4 linked regions of the Oryctolagus cuniculus genome follow. The protein of the gene in region 4 interacts with the protein of the main gene of each other region in a pairwise test. Links are inferred from orthologs where the notes say so. Each region holds a gene or a part of one and is shown on either strand. Other genes may lie near its edges. The genes, in order: DLG4, CFL1, HDAC6 and ERBB4.

Region 1 (4,050 bases), on a different chromosome or scaffold from region 4:
CCTCCCCCACCTTGATCCGGGGGGAACGGACAGTCCCCGCCATCTGCTCCTCTCCCTCACTCCTGATCAGGTCTGATTGCAGTGTGGGAGAAAACAGGCTCTTGGGCACCTGCCTGGGACACCCTCAAATTCCACGCCATCCACCTGGTCCCCCTCCTCAAATCCCCTCTCTCCGCAAACCTCTCCTCCTGCTCCTCAGGGGCTGGCAAGCTCAGCTACTGCAAGCTTCTACTTCCCACGGGAATACCCCCAGCCCCAACCTCACCTGGCCCTTCCCTCAGGGGACCCAGTGCCAGGCCCCAGCCCTCTGACAAGTCCCAACTGCCTCCAGTCCCTGCGACCAAACCCCGGATCACAGTTCCCTCAAACTGAGACAGCACCCCCAAACGTATCTACCACAAGACGCTGGCTCTGTAGCCTGCAGGCCCACCCCTTCTCTGCCAGCTGACACCCCCAGACCAGTCAGGCACACAGAACCAATCACCTTTACCCTCATGCCAGGAGCCCCCTGAACCTGGAAAAGCCCCCTGGAAACCAGCTTTTCCCCAGGGAGGGAAGACCCCCCCAGACACACACACATAGCCCACCTTCCCCCATCCACAGCAGAACTCCCATGTGAGCCAAGGCTTCCCTCTAAACAAGTCTCCCTCAAACATCACTGGTGAACCCCCAAACCCACCAGCCCCCCAAACCACGAAACACCCCGAATTTTCCATTTCTCTACAGGTACAGAGGGATCACTCCAGGGGGCACCTGTGGCCAAATTCAGCGTTTTCTCAGATGTGAACCCCAAAACTAAATTACCCACCCCAAATGCATCTTACTTCTGATGCTCTCACTCCAGGGCCTCCAGCCCCAAATAAGGCCTGCTGGACCCCTCCCCACCAACTAATGCCCTCCCCCCTACTTACAGCCCCCATCATGCTTACCTTGGTTGTCACTATACAGAGACAGTCCATGTTGGGGGGCCTGGCCGCGGTGGCGGGTAAGGGGCTCTGACTTCATCAGAGTTTCCTTCCTTCCCTCCGTGGGTTCTCACCCCTCCCCCCTCCGCACCCCACTTTTGCAGGGGGGGCCAGGATGGGGGGAGGGGTGAGAGGGGAAGGAGGGGGTTGGAGAAGGGAAGGGGAGGGGAGCGTGGGAGGGAGGGGAAGGGGGCCCGAAAACGGGCTCCCCAATGGAGGGGAGGGGGTTTGGGGAGAACACCCCGATTCTCAGGAGGGGCGGGGGCACCGGGGGCTGGCAGCCCCGGAGTTCGGGGGCTGGGGCATGAGCTGGGGTGGGGGAGGGGAACCGGATTTCGGGGAGCCCCGGGGTAGGGGGGGGTCTTGCCAAGCGGCCAGGGGCTAGGGGCCGTGGCGGGGGAGTGGGGTGGGGGGGCTGGAGACGGCAGCGGCCGAGGGAGCCGTGGAGCCGAGGAGGGAAGGGGAGAGAGGAGGAGAGAGGAAGCAGGGGGAGGGAGGGAGGGAGCTAGGAGCCAGAATGGGGGGGTGCCTTGGCAGAGTTAACTCCTTCGGTGCCGGCAGGAACCCGGATAATGGGAAAGGAGATAGAAGCAGACGCCGAGAGGCCCTGAAGCAAACATGGAGACCCGGCCAGCCACCAGCGAGGACAGCAAAGCCCAGGAGGGCAGACTTCAGTTCTCAGAGGAGCGAGCACCGGGAGATGGGCTAGGAGCACCCCTGGTTGCTTAAATACTGGAGGGAGGCCATGGTAGGGGGCTTGGTGTGAGGGAGGGGCTGGCAGGAGGGAATCCCTGGGGGCCTAGGTCTCCCTCAGGAGTCACAGCGGGAAGCCTGGAAAGTAATTATGTCGTGGACACTTCAGTGGCTAAACTGGGGCATGCAAAGACAAGGGGGAAGAAAGGAGAGGGGGCTACAGGGCCTCCCAGAGAGAGTGCATTCTCAGAGCCCTCACGTCTCTGGGCCACCGACCCAGGATGTGTGGCCAGGGCCCCCAAGTCTCCATTTTCCCATCTGATATTAGCCAGACCTTGCTCAGCACCGCCCTACCCCTTCAGAAGCCAGCACCCACTGCCTCCTTACCTGACTCTCTGAGATGGAAGCCTCGTAATAGTCCAGGATGTCTGTCACAGGAACAGAACCGAGTCACCCTCCCTGGCCTCCAGCCCAGGCTAGCCCGTTCTGACCCCGGAGCCACTGTGGGGAGGACCCTGCATGGGGCTCCAGGCTTCCAGCCAGCACTGACGGCCCTCACAGGCCCAGGCCCTCGTCCCTGCTGTCCCTCACAAAACTGGGGCTACTCACCCAGCAGGGCCTGGAAGAGGTCGCTGTGTAGCACGGCCAGAAGCGGGGGTGCCCACCGCAAGAGTGGGGGCGCCAGGAGCCAGAGGGCTGACCTGGGAGCTGGTGGAAGGCAAGTGAGGGGAGGTTGGGATGGGGAAGAGACACAGACTGACACGCTCAGCCACCTCGGCTTCCCAGCACCGCGACTCCGTGGAAAGAACCGGGGAGAAAGAATTCTGAGTCCCAGTCTCCCCCACTTCACTCCCAGGCCTCCCCTCCAAAAGGACCCCTGTTTTTCACCTCTTGGTCTCTGGGACATCTCTCCCTTCTCTGGCTTTAATCCCCCTAATCCGCTGGGATTGGAGTTGAGCTGCCCTCTCCCCACTCAATTCTCGCTGTTAGGTGAGGGCGGCATCTCTGGACTGGCCTGCTGTCCCTCAGGGCGGCACCACCACCACCACCTTGCTTCACACACCCGGGCCCCTGCCCCCAAGGCCTGCAGAACTCAGCCACACTTTCACAAGGGGCCGAGAAGACAGTCTCCCCCAAGGAGAAAGGAAGCTGGGCCCAGCTGGCTCCCTCCCAGGCCTGACCCCCCCCGGGGGGGAAGCGCAGAAAGAAGGGTGTACATTGCTTGGGACTTCTTGGCCAGGGCTAGAGAAGCCGAGGAAAGGGACTGGGAGTGGGAAGAAACGAGCGTTTCCATTCAGTTCTTCTCGGGACCGGGCAGAACCCATTTGCCCTGAGGTCTAGGTGACCACAGGGACTCTGGAATAACAGAGGGCAGACAGGAGGTTCAGGGAGGTCTCAGAGGCTTTCCAAGAGCCGGTGAACCGGGGTCGCTGCTCCTGTGAAATTTCAGGGGTTCTGAGTGGCACCTCCTAGGGCGGAGAACACGCTGTGAGAGGCTCACAGCCCAGTTGGAGTCCCCCAGCGCACAGTTCCCCTCCCTTTTGTGTAGGTGGAGGCAGATTCGGGAGGGACCCCAAGAGTCGCCTTTCCATGACTGTCTCTTCTCCCTTCTCCTAACTCCATGGGGTTGGGGAGGTCCTCCCTTCAGTTAACCTCTGCCCCTCTAGCTGCAGCCGCCTAAGTTCCTCCCTCTCCCGTCCCCTCCTATCCCTTCACCCCTAGAGGACTAGACTCTAATTCGGACAGGCGTTTAAAGGAGTTTCGGGGAGACAAGGGACGCTTGGAGATCGCGCTAGGTCAGCTGGACTGCAGTGGATGGGGCGCTCTGGAACTACAGTTCCCAGCATGCCCAGCGCCCGGAAGCCCCGCCCACCACCGCCCGGTGCATTGTGGACGATGAGTCAGGGCTGGGGACACCAGACTTGGACAGTCAGGACGCGAGTGCGAGGTCAGCGTCCGAGGCAGCGGCAGCTGGAGCGGCTCCGAGATGCGAACGGCTCGCATGGCCCCTAGCGTGGGGCGGCAGCTGCTGAGGTTGGCGAGCGGAAGGTGTGTATGACGGGGGTTGGGAGGGGAGAGGGAGCCGGCGGACCTGACCGACCGAGCCAGAACCGAACCCCTGCTCTTCACAGCTCGCGGCCCAGTGCGTTCCTGGGGCAGCCCCGGCCTGGTCCTGCCCAGCGACTCTATGCCAGTGAGGCCGCTCAGGTAAGTGACGGCGGCCTCGGGAGAGGGGCTCCCGCCTCCCCGCGGCCGGCAGGGGTCTCCCTCCCCGTGCCAGTCACCTGCTGACAGCTTTGGCTGGGAAAGTAGGGGAAAGGGCAAACCGGGATGCCCTGGGATGAAACTAGGGGAAAGGCACGGGATCAGCTCAAGCCTCACACCCAGCTCT
Region 2 (4,379 bases), on a different chromosome or scaffold from region 4:
TCGAGGAGACTGGGGGCGGGGGACAGCGGAGCGCAGGTGCCTCTGTGGGAGGGGGCGTGAGGAGACTCCAAGAGACTGGGGGCGGGGGACAGCGGAGCGCAGGTGCCTCTGAGGTGCCTCTGTGGATAGGGGGCACGAGAAGAGTCCAGGAAGGGCGGGGGACAGCGGAGCGCAGGTGCCTCTGTGGGTACGGGCTCGGGGAGAGTCCAGGAGACTGGGGGCGCGGGACAGAGAAGCGCAGGTGCATCTGTGGATAGGGGCTCGAGGAGAGTCCAGGAGACTGGGGGCGGGGGATAGCGGAGCGCAGGTGCATCTGTGGGAGGGGGCGTGAGGAGACTCCAGGAGACTGGGGTCGGGGGACAGCGGAGCGCAGGTGCCTCTGTGGGTAGGGGCTCTGGGGTGTGCGGCGGCGGAAGCCCTAGCTGGGCGGACTGGGGTGAGAGCAGAGGCGCTGTGTGCGTCCCGGCAGGTGTGGCGGCCAGAGGGGCGCACGTGAGCCGCTCCGGGGCTGAGGCTCCCCGGCTCGGGGGCTCGGTGGAGGCGCGGGACCCCCTTCCCCCAGCGAGGTTTGGAGATGGAACTCGGTGGGCCCAGGTTGAGCGACACGTAAGCAGGTGCTTCGGCGCAGGGAGGGGGAGCGGGCCCTGCTGGCGTCCGCAGCAGTCCCAGGTCGAGAGCGGGCGAACCCCAAGCAGGGGCGTGCGGGGCCCGGGACCCCCCGAGAGGGCCGGAGGGGCGGGCGCCGGGGCCCAGCCCGCCTCCCTCCCAGCACGGCCTTATAAGGAGCCCGAAGCCGGCGCCGCGGCCGGCTCCGCCCCCGCCAGGCTCATGTCCTAATAAGGACATCTAGGGCATCCCGCGGCCGGGGGCGGCCGCGAGCGCGTCTCCAGGGCGACTGCGGCCCCCTCCCCCTCCCGGGAAGCTGCGGGGCGCCCGGGGGTGGCGGGGCGCGGCCGCGGCCTGGTCCCCGGAGCTCCGCGGCAGGCGCCCCTGCTCGGGGGCCGCGGTGGGGGCCCGGGCCGAGGACATCCTCCGGAGCTCTGCTCTCCCGCTCGCTCGCTCGCTCGCGCCTCGGCTCTGCCCGCGTTAAACCGTGCACCTGTGCACCCGAGAGCCAGGCCCAAGTCTGGCCTCACACGCGTTTCCTCTCCTCACCGCCTGACAGCCCTGAATTTGCAAAACACCTGAAAATAAATGAATAAACCACACAGAGTCCTCGCGGCTTCCCCTGTGTTTTCTATTCTTTTTGCCGTGGGAGCCGCATCCGCCTTTTTCTCTGGGGACGAGCGCAGCTTTGCCGATTCTCCCGGTGTAGGGCCGGGTCCCAGCCCAGCGAACAGCCGCTTCCTGTCGGGAAAGCAACGCCCCCCGCCACCCTCGGCCGCCGCAGACCCGAGGTCTCCAGACACCCGTCCCGCGCCGGGATCTGGAGCCTCTGAGGGATCCTTTTCGGGTCACTTCGCCAGCGCGCCCGCCTTTCCTGGGACGCTCGGCCAATGGGCGCGCGCTGCGCGCGGAGGCCCCGCCCCTCGCGGCCCCGGCCTACACCTCCCGGCGTGCACCGCGGGGCCGGCCGAGGGAGCCGGCGGGCGACTCGGCGCGCCCGCCGGCCGCGCGGACTCCATTTCCCGTCGGCCCCGCGAGGGAGCGCCGGAAGCCCGCCCCGCCCCTCATTGTGCGGCTCCTACTAAACGGAAGGGGCCGGGAGAGGCCGCGTTCAGTCGGGTCCAGGCAGCAGCTGCGGCGGCTCTCGTCTCCTCCGCCTTCTGCCCCCTTGCCATCTTCCTCTCGCTTCCGGAAACATGGTGAGCGGCAGGCCGCGGCGGCCGAGGGGAGGCGGCCGAGGGCGACGGCGGAGCGGGAGCTGCAGCCCGGCCCCGAGCGCCCCGGGCGGGATGAGGGGGTCTCGCCCCGGGAGGCGGGCGGCGCCGGGACGCGCGTGCGCGCTCGTGGGCGCCGCGAAGGGCCGGCTCGGACGTCGCTCGCGCGCCCCCTGGCCTCCCCTCCCCCACCGCGCTGCTGCGCCCGCGCGGGCCGCGGCCGTGGGGGAGGGGGCGCGGGCGCGCGCCCCTCGCGGAGCCGCCGGCGTCGCGCGCCGTCTCGCGGGGGCGCGCGCCCCTCCGGAGCACGCGGCGCCCGAGCCCGGCCCCGGGGGCGGCGAGGCAGCAGGCGCGCGCGCCCCACCCCACCCTGGCGCGGTCCCGGCCCCGCGCCCCTCCCGCGGCGAGAGCAGGTGGCTGGGGCTGCGGGCCTGCGGCGCGCGGCTCGGCGCGGGGTCCCGCCGGGGCGCGAGCTGGAGCGGCGCTGCCGGCCGGCGCGTGCGCACACGCGCGGTCGCGGCCGCCGGGGGTCGCGGCAGCCCCCCTGGGCTACCGGGGCTTCGGCTCTCCCGGCTGGGCCCGGAAGAGGGAGCCGAGTTTAGGGAAGTGATCCAGGCAGGCGCCGCCTGGAAACCACCCCGCATCCTGTGTCCGGCCCGACGGCCGCGGGGACCGAGGTCCCCTGGGCAGGCGGCGGACAGGCCGGGGCGGCCCTGGGCGGCAGGCCAGCGGCCCTGCTGGCGGTTCCGGGGAACGGAGGGCCCTGGAGGCGCCGCTGCCCCTCGGATTCGAGGTTTTCTTGGGCAGAGGGCCGGGGCTCTCGGTGTCCTCTCCCCGCCCACTCCGGAAGCGGCTGGGTCACGTGGCCAGCTTCCTCTGCAGTTGGGGGGTGCAGATTTCCCCATCGTGGACAGTCGCTCCCCCTCCTGGCCAGGGCGCCCCGGGCCTGATGCAGAGCTCTCGGGGGCCTGGGGCGCCGCAGTTGGCTTGTTAAGTTTTTTTTTTTAATATTTGTTTATCTGAAAGGCAGGGAGGTCTTCCATCCGCTGGTTCCCTCCCCAAACGGCCGCCACAGCCGGGTGTAGGCCAGGCTGGAGCCGGGAGCCCGACACGCCGTCCTGGGGTCCTGCGCAGGTGGCAGGGGCCCACGCACTTGGGCCGTCCTCTGCCCCTGCGGGCGTAGGGAGGAAGCTGGCTGGGCAGCGAGCGCTCCCGTGTGGGGTGCCGCCACTGCACTCCTTCGATTCGTTCCCGTGGCCTCTGGGGCCCTTGGCCACCCGCAGAGGCTGGGGGCTGTGGTTCCTGCCTTGGTTGGGAGAGACCCCAGTCGGGAAGCAGGTGCCTGCATTCTGTCTGACCCACTTGCTGGAACGGCAGGGCCTCCGTGGGCGCTCCTGCCGACGTCCTGGGGGCCTGGTCGCCTCCTGAAGAGGAGGCGGGGGCTGAAGTGTTTGGGCCCCCTCTCAGCTCTGGCGGGCTCGGTGGGCAGCTCTGTTCAGGGCCGAGACGGTGCCGGGAGCAGGACTGGGCGGCCCGGAGCCCCTCTCTGGACCCGCACCTCGGCAGAGGCTCTGCTCCCACGGGTCCTCACCGTCGGGGCCGTGGAAAGCAGGAAGGGCGCTGGGCTGTCCAGGCCGAGTGACCGCCCGGGGCGTGGGCTGGGAGGGCCCCGGGCGGCGTTCCGGCCTCTCACGCAGTCGCCCCCCGCCCGTTCGCAGGCCTCCGGCGTGGCTGTCTCTGACGGCGTCATCAAGGTGTTCAACGACATGAAGGTGCGCAAGTCGTCGACGCCCGAGGAGGTGAAGAAGCGCAAGAAGGCGGTGCTGTTCTGCCTGAGCGAGGACAAGAAGAACATCGTGCTGGAGGAGGGCAAGGAGATCCTGGTGGGCGACGTGGGCCAGACCGTGGAGGACCCCTACGCCACCTTCGTGCAGATGCTGCCCGACAAGGACTGCCGCTACGCCCTCTACGACGCCACCTACGAGACCAAGGAGAGCAAGAAGGAGGACCTGGTGTTCATCTTCTGGTGAGCGGGGCTGCGGGAGGGCGGCGCCGCGGGAGCCGGGAGCCGGGAGGGGCGGTGCGGGCCGCGAGTTCCTGCCTCGTGTCTCTCCAGGGCCCCCGAGTGTGCGCCCCTCAAGAGCAAAATGATCTACGCCAGCTCCAAGGACGCCATCAAGAAGAAGCTGACAGGTGAGGGCCGGGCCTGGGCTGCCGGGAGCCGGGAGCCGGGAGCCGGCCCCTGCCTCCGCTCACAGATGCCCCCTCCCCACAGGAATCAAGCATGAATTGCAAGCCAACTGCTACGAGGAGGTGAAGGACCGCTGCACCCTGGCGGAGAAGCTGGGGGGCAGCGCCGTCATCTCCCTGGAGGGCAAGCCCTTGTGAGCCCCCAGCCCCCGCCCGGCGCATCTGACAGCCCCAGACCTGCCCTTGGGGGTTGCAGGCTGCCCCCTCCCTGCCAGGCCGGAGGGGCTGGGGGGATTCCAGCAGGGGGAGGGCAATTCCTTCGCCCCAGTTGCCAAACAGCCCCCCTCCCCCTGGACCCTCCTCCCCCTC
Region 3 (2,509 bases), on a different chromosome or scaffold from region 4:
AAGCCACCTCGACCAGCTAATCGTGGGCCAGCTGAGGGGATGACCACACCAGAAAAGAATGTTCTGGAAGCAGGCACGGGGAAGGCCACCTCAGCCCTATCTGCAGGAGAGTCCATTCCAGGCCATACTGAATCAGAGACAGCTGTGATGCTCCCTGAGGCCCATTCCTCACAGGCAGCCACAAGGTTAGCCACCCTGTACCACACCACCTCAGAGGTGGGCATGGGAGGAGCCATGATGGACCAGACCACCTGGGAAGCAGCCACAGGGGTAGCCACACCAGACCAGACCACCTCAGAGGAGTCTGTGGGCGGAACCTCACTGGACCAGACCACCTCAGAGGTTTCCATGGGGGAAGCCATGCTGGACAGTATCATTTCAGAGGAAGGAGACACGCTGAACCAGAACACCTCAGAGGAGGCTGTGAGGGCAGCCAAGCTGATCCAAACTCCTCTAGCCTCAAGCATAGATAACCAGACGCCCCCAACCTCACCTGTGCCAGGAGCCATATCCCAGATATCCCCTAGTCAGCTGACTAGGAGTCTCAGAACCTTGAAACTAAGCGATGAAGCTCAGGTAAGGCCCACAACACCCAGGTAGAGGGAAGAAGGGCCAAGAGTCTGGCCTCTTCGATACACCTTTTGCTTCTGTGTGTCCAGAAGACCTCAGAATCTCAGATTCCAGAAGAGGAGGGCCTACTAGCAGAGGCAGCTGGAGGTCGGGATGTGGATGATGTGACACTGATGCAGGGACCAGGGAACCTTGCTGACACTGACCAGGTGAGCTCAGGGAGAGGCTGGGTTGCAGCCTCCTCTTACCTATCCACATCTTCAGGTAGGAGATGTGATGCAGGAACATATAATGGGGGAATAGGACCCCCCCAGCTGACTCAGTTTCATCCACTCCAGGCCATGTTTTATGCTGTGACACCAATGTCCTGGTGTCCTCATTTGGTGGCAGTAAGCCCCAAACCTGCAACAGGCCTGAATGTGACTCAACCTTGTCAAGACTGTGGAACACTCGAGGAAAATTGGGTGTGTCTGTCTTGCTATGAGGTATGGAGCAGAGGAGGGGATTGGGGTGGAGGCTGGTCCAGGAGCAAACTTTGGTAGGTGCTGACCCCTGCCTGATACTCCCCAACCTCAGGTCTACTGCAGCCGTTTTGTCAATGCCCATATGATCCAACACCATGAAGCCTCTGGACACCCACTGGTCCTCAGCTACGTTGACCTGTCTGCCTGGTGTTACCTCTGCCAGGCCTATGTCCACCACCAGGTGGGCCCCGGGCAGACCCTCTAATGTGCAAACTCATGGCCCAAACATGTACATGCACTACTTATGTGATGGGTAAGGGGAGAGCACAGATCCCTTTGCACAATTGCCTCAGGATCCTTTTTTGTATTGTGGGGGCTGTGGGATAGCCCAGGAGACAGAGTGGTTGAAGACTGGAGTGGAGGCAAGCCTCCTGGCTGAGGCAGAGTGTTCTGCACTCTCTCTCACCTACCCTGTTCTTGCTACTCCCCAGGCTCTCCTAGATGTGAAGAACACGGTGCACCAGAACAAGTTTGGGGAGGACATGCCCCACCCACACTAAGTCCCAGAACGTGCTCCCTCTTCTCCACCTTCTGAGGCCCAAGACAGACCAGCCTTAGTTCATTCCAAGCTCTACCTTGGATGAGGGGGAGCCTCTCTCTCCATCTCGACTTAAATATCCTTTGCAACTCCTCAAGGGTGCTTATTTAAGTGTATATACTTTTAAAAGGACTGTGATGATCAGTTGTGGATTTTCCCCTGCCCACAACCTGCTCAAGGGACAACACTACCCCACCCCACAAGGAAAAGAGGAGCTCAATGTTTCCAAAGGGGTGCTGCAATCACAAAGGCTAACACTGGAGGAAGGGGGGAGCAACTGGCAGGTGTGGAGGGGTTGTGTATGTAATAAAGTGTGAAGTTACAAAACATGGAGAAAGCGTTTTAACTTTGAGTAGGTAGAGAATCCTGCATCCCAGGCCAATGAGAAATGAAGGAATATGGAATGGGTCTTCATCAGTTCAACCTTTCCCTCACCACCCATTGCACAAAAAAACCAACTCATTGAAAATATACCAGGCAGCTCCAGTAGAGTAAGTGGTAGAAACCATTAGAAAATGAATATCTGATTTAGAAATACAAGGATACTCCAAAAAGTTCATGGAAAATAGAATTTATAGGTATGTTTAGTTTGGTGCAAAAATTTGAAATCCATGCATACAAGGGGTCTTCACAAAGTTCATACAGGGGCTGACGCTGTAGTGCAGCAGCTTAAGCCTCTGCCTGCAGCACTGGCATCCCAAATGGGTGCTGGTTCAAGTCCCAGATGCTCCTTTTTCTGACCCAGCTCCCCGCTAGTGTGCCTGGGAAAGCAGTGGAGGATGGCCCAAGTCCCTGGGCCTCTGTACCTACATGGGAGACCTAGAAGAAGTTCCTGGCTCTTGGCTTCAGCCTGGCCCAGCCCCAGACGTTATGGCCA
Region 4 (4,227 bases):
TGCACAATCAGTTCCATTCTGGTTAGTCGCCATCATCTGCTCTAGGCTTGGTTTCTCCCTGCCCTAGGCTGCTTTTGGGTAAAAAAGCATGCTCAGCTTGTTTTGTCTCTTTGCTGGGCCTAGGAAAGAGAGAGAAGCTTTTTTTTGGGGGGGGGGGTGCGTAGGAAAGAGAAACTCCAGGCTTCTGCTCTTCCTATCTGTTCCAGGGAGATTCTTAAGGGACAGGGCTAGAGATAAAAGATGTGGGAGAGAAAAGGGAAGGTCCCAGTTGATGACAGAAGATACAGGGTGGTTTGATTTTTAAGTTCCCAGGTACTTTTTATTTATATATTTCCTATTTGTAGAGAAACCAAAAAAGGAAAATGATTAGTACGTAGTATGCCTGCGCAAATAGCAAACCCATAACCTACTAACCCCAGGAGATTTTGGCTCCTGTCCTGGGTAGTTTCAGAGCTGTAAGAGGTATGGGGTATGTACGTGGAGAGTCTCCAATTCCAGGATATAGTAATTAGATTCAGAAACCTCTCAGAGAATCCCAAAGCTACCAGTGACCCGGGGATTAGGGAGCCTAACTGGCAGAGAACACGGAAGTGTCTCCAGCTGCGTCTACTACTAGAATAAACCTCATCATTTGAGGTCCATTACATTCTGACATGGCCGCCTTAAATTCTTTCAGACCCAACAGTTCAGGCTTGGAACGTTTTTGAGCCCTTTAAAAGCAAATTAGCAGTTGGGCTAGAATGTGCCTAGAGAGAATGAACCCCAGACAAGTGGTCCAGAGAAAAGGCAGCATGGCCCATGAGAATCTGAAAGTCAATGATGTGGTTCTGCCAATGCAGATTTTTAGTTTGGTTCAGAGTCTTCCCGTTTGGCCGGGTGTAACTGGGGAAGGGGGATGATTACCGCGGAGGACGACCTGGTGTGCTGGGGCTACCAGTTACCGAACTCTCCTGTAAATTACCTTCTAAGCGTGGAGCATGACTGTTTTTTTTTTTTTTGGGGGGGGGGGAGGGTTTGCACATCCTTTTACTGAAGAAAGTTCTGTCTGTGGATGAGCACTGTGGGGCAATGGAGAAAAAAAAAAAATCTGTCCTCTAAGCATCCTAACGGTGGTCTGTCCCCTCGCGGGCCAGCTGTCCCGTCCTCCGCCGGGGCGGGAAGGAGAGTGTTTCGGTCCACGGATTCGGGTGAGCCCTTTAAATCCAGCCTCCCCGCCCCCACCTCCCCGTTGCCTCTCTCTGACAGGTGTTTTCCCAACTCTGGAGGCTGAGGATTTTGGGGAGTGGCTGAGCCAATAAGATCTCCCTTTTTGGGGGGGGGGAAGGGCGTGGCCAGCTGGGTCAGAGCAGGGGCGGGGTTTGTGCCGCTGAGCCGAGCTTGCCTGGTTGCGTGGAGGGTTGTTTTATCCCCCCCCCCCCACCGTCCCCACCGCCCCCCACCTTTTTTTTATTTATTTCGGAGTCTTATTAATTTCTCTGTGGGGCTGCAGCTGGAGACCGCGGAGCGTTGGAAATGACGCTCGGAGCTTTAATTACCGCAGCCGCTGGACAAGTGTGAGGAAAGCTGACAGGAACAAGGACAGGATCGGGGGAGACGCCAGCAGCTCCCCCCGCCTCCCGATTTGGACTGGAGGTGCAAGGAAACTGAAAAGGGAGCCGAACATAGCCCGGCTTGGGGGGGGAGAGGCCGGAAACCTACCGCCTCTTTGCAATCAACTTTTTTTGGAAACCTTTCTCTCCCCTTCCTTTTTATTGTTGACCAACCAGTGAGAGAGAGAAAGTGAAGAGAGAGCGAGAGCGCGAAGCTCCCACGGGGAAAATAGCTGCACAGTCCGCCCGGAGCAGCCCGCGCCACCCGGGAGCGCTCCCCGGCGCGCTCCGCGACGCCCACTCCTCTACGGCCGGCCCGGCCCTGGGCCCGCGGGCGCGGACTCGGTCGCCCGCGCTGGGGAGCCGCTGGACCGCGCGCGCCGCGCCCGCCCCCTCGCGCCCCCACTCGCGTCGGACTGGGGGAATCTCCTCCGCGTGCCCGAAAGGGGCTATGCCAGTTGGACATGTAATTGTCAGCACGGGACCTGAGACTTCCAAAAAATGAAGCTGGCGACAGGACTGTGGGTCTGGGTGAGCCTTCTCGTGGCGGCGGGGACCGTCCAGCCCGGCGCTTCTCAGTCAGGTGGGTCGCGCTCCTTCTCGCGCTCCAGCAGTTGAACCTGTCGCCGCCGCCGCCGCCGGCTAGGCTGCCTCGGTGGCTCCCCTGCCGTCTTTGCCCACCCCGACCCCGGCTCGCCCCCAGGCGCGGAGGGACCCCTGGACTGGGGCCTCTGGCACCGGCTCCCGGTCACCCCTTTCTTTCTCCATCCTAAACTTACCCTGTGTGTATGTGCGCGGGCGCGCAAGTGTTTTATTTATCGTGAAAAATTACTCTGCACCCCATGACCCTTTCCCCCCCTCTCTCCTTAAGCCACCTTCTTTCTCCCTCGCGTGTTTTCCCTGTGCCTAAGCGGGCTCGCTGCTAGTCGCGCCTGTTGTTCGGACGCGGGAGACCCAGACCCTCAGCCAGAGGAGCCCTCCGGTCTCGGACTCTGTGCCCTCAAGGCAACAAGCCGCAAAGGAAGGCGCACCGCAGGAGCCTGGGCAGGGCTGGGGTCCCGGGGTGGTGCTGGCCGGGCTGCTCCGCAGCCCGCGGGCTGTGGAGCGTGCAGCTCCGAGAACCAGGCTGTGCACCTGTGTGTGCTCCCTGTGGCCGCTGCGCCCCCAGTCGCCCGAGGTTTGCGGGGTCAGGCACGACTGGAGCCCAGCCTGGGCAGCCTGGAGAGCGCGGCGGGCGGGCGTGCCTCGGCCCGGGCCTGGAACTGCCAGCCTCCTCGGCTGGCGTCCCGGAGTCCCTCGCCCCATTGACTCGAGGGGTGCTTGCTTGCATGCCTGTCCTATTAAAAAAAATTAAAAGAGGCTTGGCACGTTGAGCTAGGAGCCCGGCCTTCCCGTCGGTGGCTGTGTTTGGCTCCGGGAGGAGTTCTTCCTGTAGTTCAACTTGCTATTGGCCGGACTCCCTCCAACTTCTCTGTTTACTGCCCGGCCGGGCTGCGGAGCCTGCCGGTCGCGCGAATTGATTTAACCCGAGGCGGGCGCGGCGGCTGCGCTCCCGGGCGCGGTCAGTGTTTGCTGGAGAGCTTGAGCCCCAGGTACCTGGACAGGCAAAGGGCTAATTGACCCCGAGGGGCCGCGCAGGGGGCTGGCGCGCCGCAGCGGGCAGGGCTAATGACAGCAGCACCTGCAGGGACAGGGGAGCTCTAAGTTTCCAACACTGGGAGTTTCCTGGGGATGACCTGGGGACTGGAAAGGAATGAGGAGAACCGGTGTCTGACGCGGCCAAGGTGGGGGGTGGTGGTGGTGGTGGCCTCTGGAGAGCCCGGGGGAGATTTCCGGAGCCGTTTGGGGTTGCTGGCGAGAGCGTGGGAGGCAGCTTGAGGAGATAAAGCCCCTGGGAGTGGCGATAGGGCGAGCTTTAGGCCTCCGGAGGGTGTCCTCCTGACCTCGCCAAGAGAACGGCGGCTCGCGGTAGTTTCCCCGCTCCGCCCCCGCCTCCCCCTCGCTGCCTAGTAAATAACAAGTTCCAATCATGGAGCCTTTCAGAATGACCTTCGCCTGGCACATGTGCGCCGTTTGCACCCTCCCAATTACTCCGAAATTCTTCATGCATACCAGGTCCCGCGCTCCAGCCACCTCGGGAATTGCACCGTCTCGAGATTCCAAGCGGCCTCTTAGATACATCCCTTTTTATCTGCCTCCCCACTCCCAGTCCCTTCATATTTTCCCTCAATGGGTTGATTATGCACATTGACCCATTCAAAAACAGTTGCGACCGACAGGCAGGCTGAGGCGGGAGGAATTTCTAGGAGGCGACCTACTGGGGGCTGTCTGGTTCAGCCTCTGCCGCTGGAGGACCCGCTCCCGGTACGCAGCAATTTGGTATTAACTGTGCGGCGCGGGGCTGAGCTATTCCGAAAAGCCCTTTTCAGAATTTCTGCAAGGAATGTAATCCAAATTAGTTCTGCAGCTGTCCTCTTCCTCGTCTCAGGCGACACCAGCTCTTGCCCTCGCTCGTCTCTTCTCCTTTCCCTGGGCGAATTGTCAGACCCACAAGTGAGCCCATTTAGAGCGCGAGGATTAGCGTGCCATTGTTGTTCCGAGTGTGACTCTGTACTTGAAATTCTGGGGGCACAAAGGA

What was found.
Region 1: the proteins of ERBB4 (region 4) and DLG4 interact in binary tests that used the Homo sapiens proteins (3 or more experiments, as listed by UniProt). The link is inferred for Oryctolagus cuniculus from reciprocal best matches to the Homo sapiens genes ERBB4 and DLG4.
Region 2: the proteins of ERBB4 (region 4) and CFL1 interact in a protein complementation assay, tested with the Homo sapiens proteins (2 studies listed by BioGRID and IntAct, with this or other methods). The link is inferred for Oryctolagus cuniculus from reciprocal best matches to the Homo sapiens genes ERBB4 and CFL1.
Region 3: the proteins of ERBB4 (region 4) and HDAC6 interact in a protein complementation assay, tested with the Homo sapiens proteins (2 studies listed by BioGRID and IntAct, with this or other methods). The link is inferred for Oryctolagus cuniculus from reciprocal best matches to the Homo sapiens genes ERBB4 and HDAC6.

What each region holds. Positions count from the first base shown.
Region 1 is NC_091448.1:51,825,388-51,829,437, forward strand, and holds the start of DLG4 (disks large homolog 4), read right to left. Parts: upstream 2,801-4,050; 5' UTR 2,566-2,800; coding exon 2,547-2,565; intron 2,367-2,546; coding exon 2,268-2,366; intron 2,087-2,267; coding exon 2,046-2,086; intron 1,361-2,045; exon of another isoform or gene 960-1,360; coding exon of another isoform or gene 930-959; intron 1-929. Other genes in the region: ACADVL (very long-chain specific acyl-CoA dehydrogenase, mitochondrial), read left to right, coding at 3,646-3,707, 3,791-3,866. UniProt on the Homo sapiens protein: Postsynaptic scaffolding protein that plays a critical role in synaptogenesis and synaptic plasticity by providing a platform for the postsynaptic clustering of crucial synaptic proteins.
Region 2 is NC_091432.1:5,909,921-5,914,299, forward strand, and holds the start of CFL1 (cofilin-1), read left to right. Parts: upstream 1-1,575; 5' UTR 1,576-1,802; coding exon 1,803-1,805; intron 1,806-3,538; coding exon 3,539-3,846; intron 3,847-3,936; coding exon 3,937-4,013; intron 4,014-4,095; coding exon 4,096-4,208; 3' UTR 4,209-4,379.
Region 3 is NC_091453.1:34,007,169-34,009,677, forward strand, and holds the end of HDAC6 (histone deacetylase 6), read left to right. Parts: coding exon 1-576; intron 577-659; coding exon 660-779; intron 780-908; coding exon 909-1,055; intron 1,056-1,146; coding exon 1,147-1,275; coding exon of another isoform or gene 1,276-1,299; exon of another isoform or gene 1,300-1,347; intron 1,348-1,525; coding exon 1,526-1,594; 3' UTR 1,595-1,959; downstream 1,960-2,509.
Region 4 is NC_091434.1:26,982,550-26,986,776, forward strand, and holds the start of ERBB4 (receptor tyrosine-protein kinase erbB-4), read left to right. Parts: upstream 1-1,405; 5' UTR 1,406-2,090; coding exon 2,091-2,172; intron 2,173-2,179; exon of another isoform or gene 2,180-4,227. UniProt on the Homo sapiens protein: Tyrosine-protein kinase that plays an essential role as cell surface receptor for neuregulins and EGF family members and regulates development of the heart, the central nervous system and the mammary gland, gene transcription, cell proliferation, differentiation, migration and apoptosis.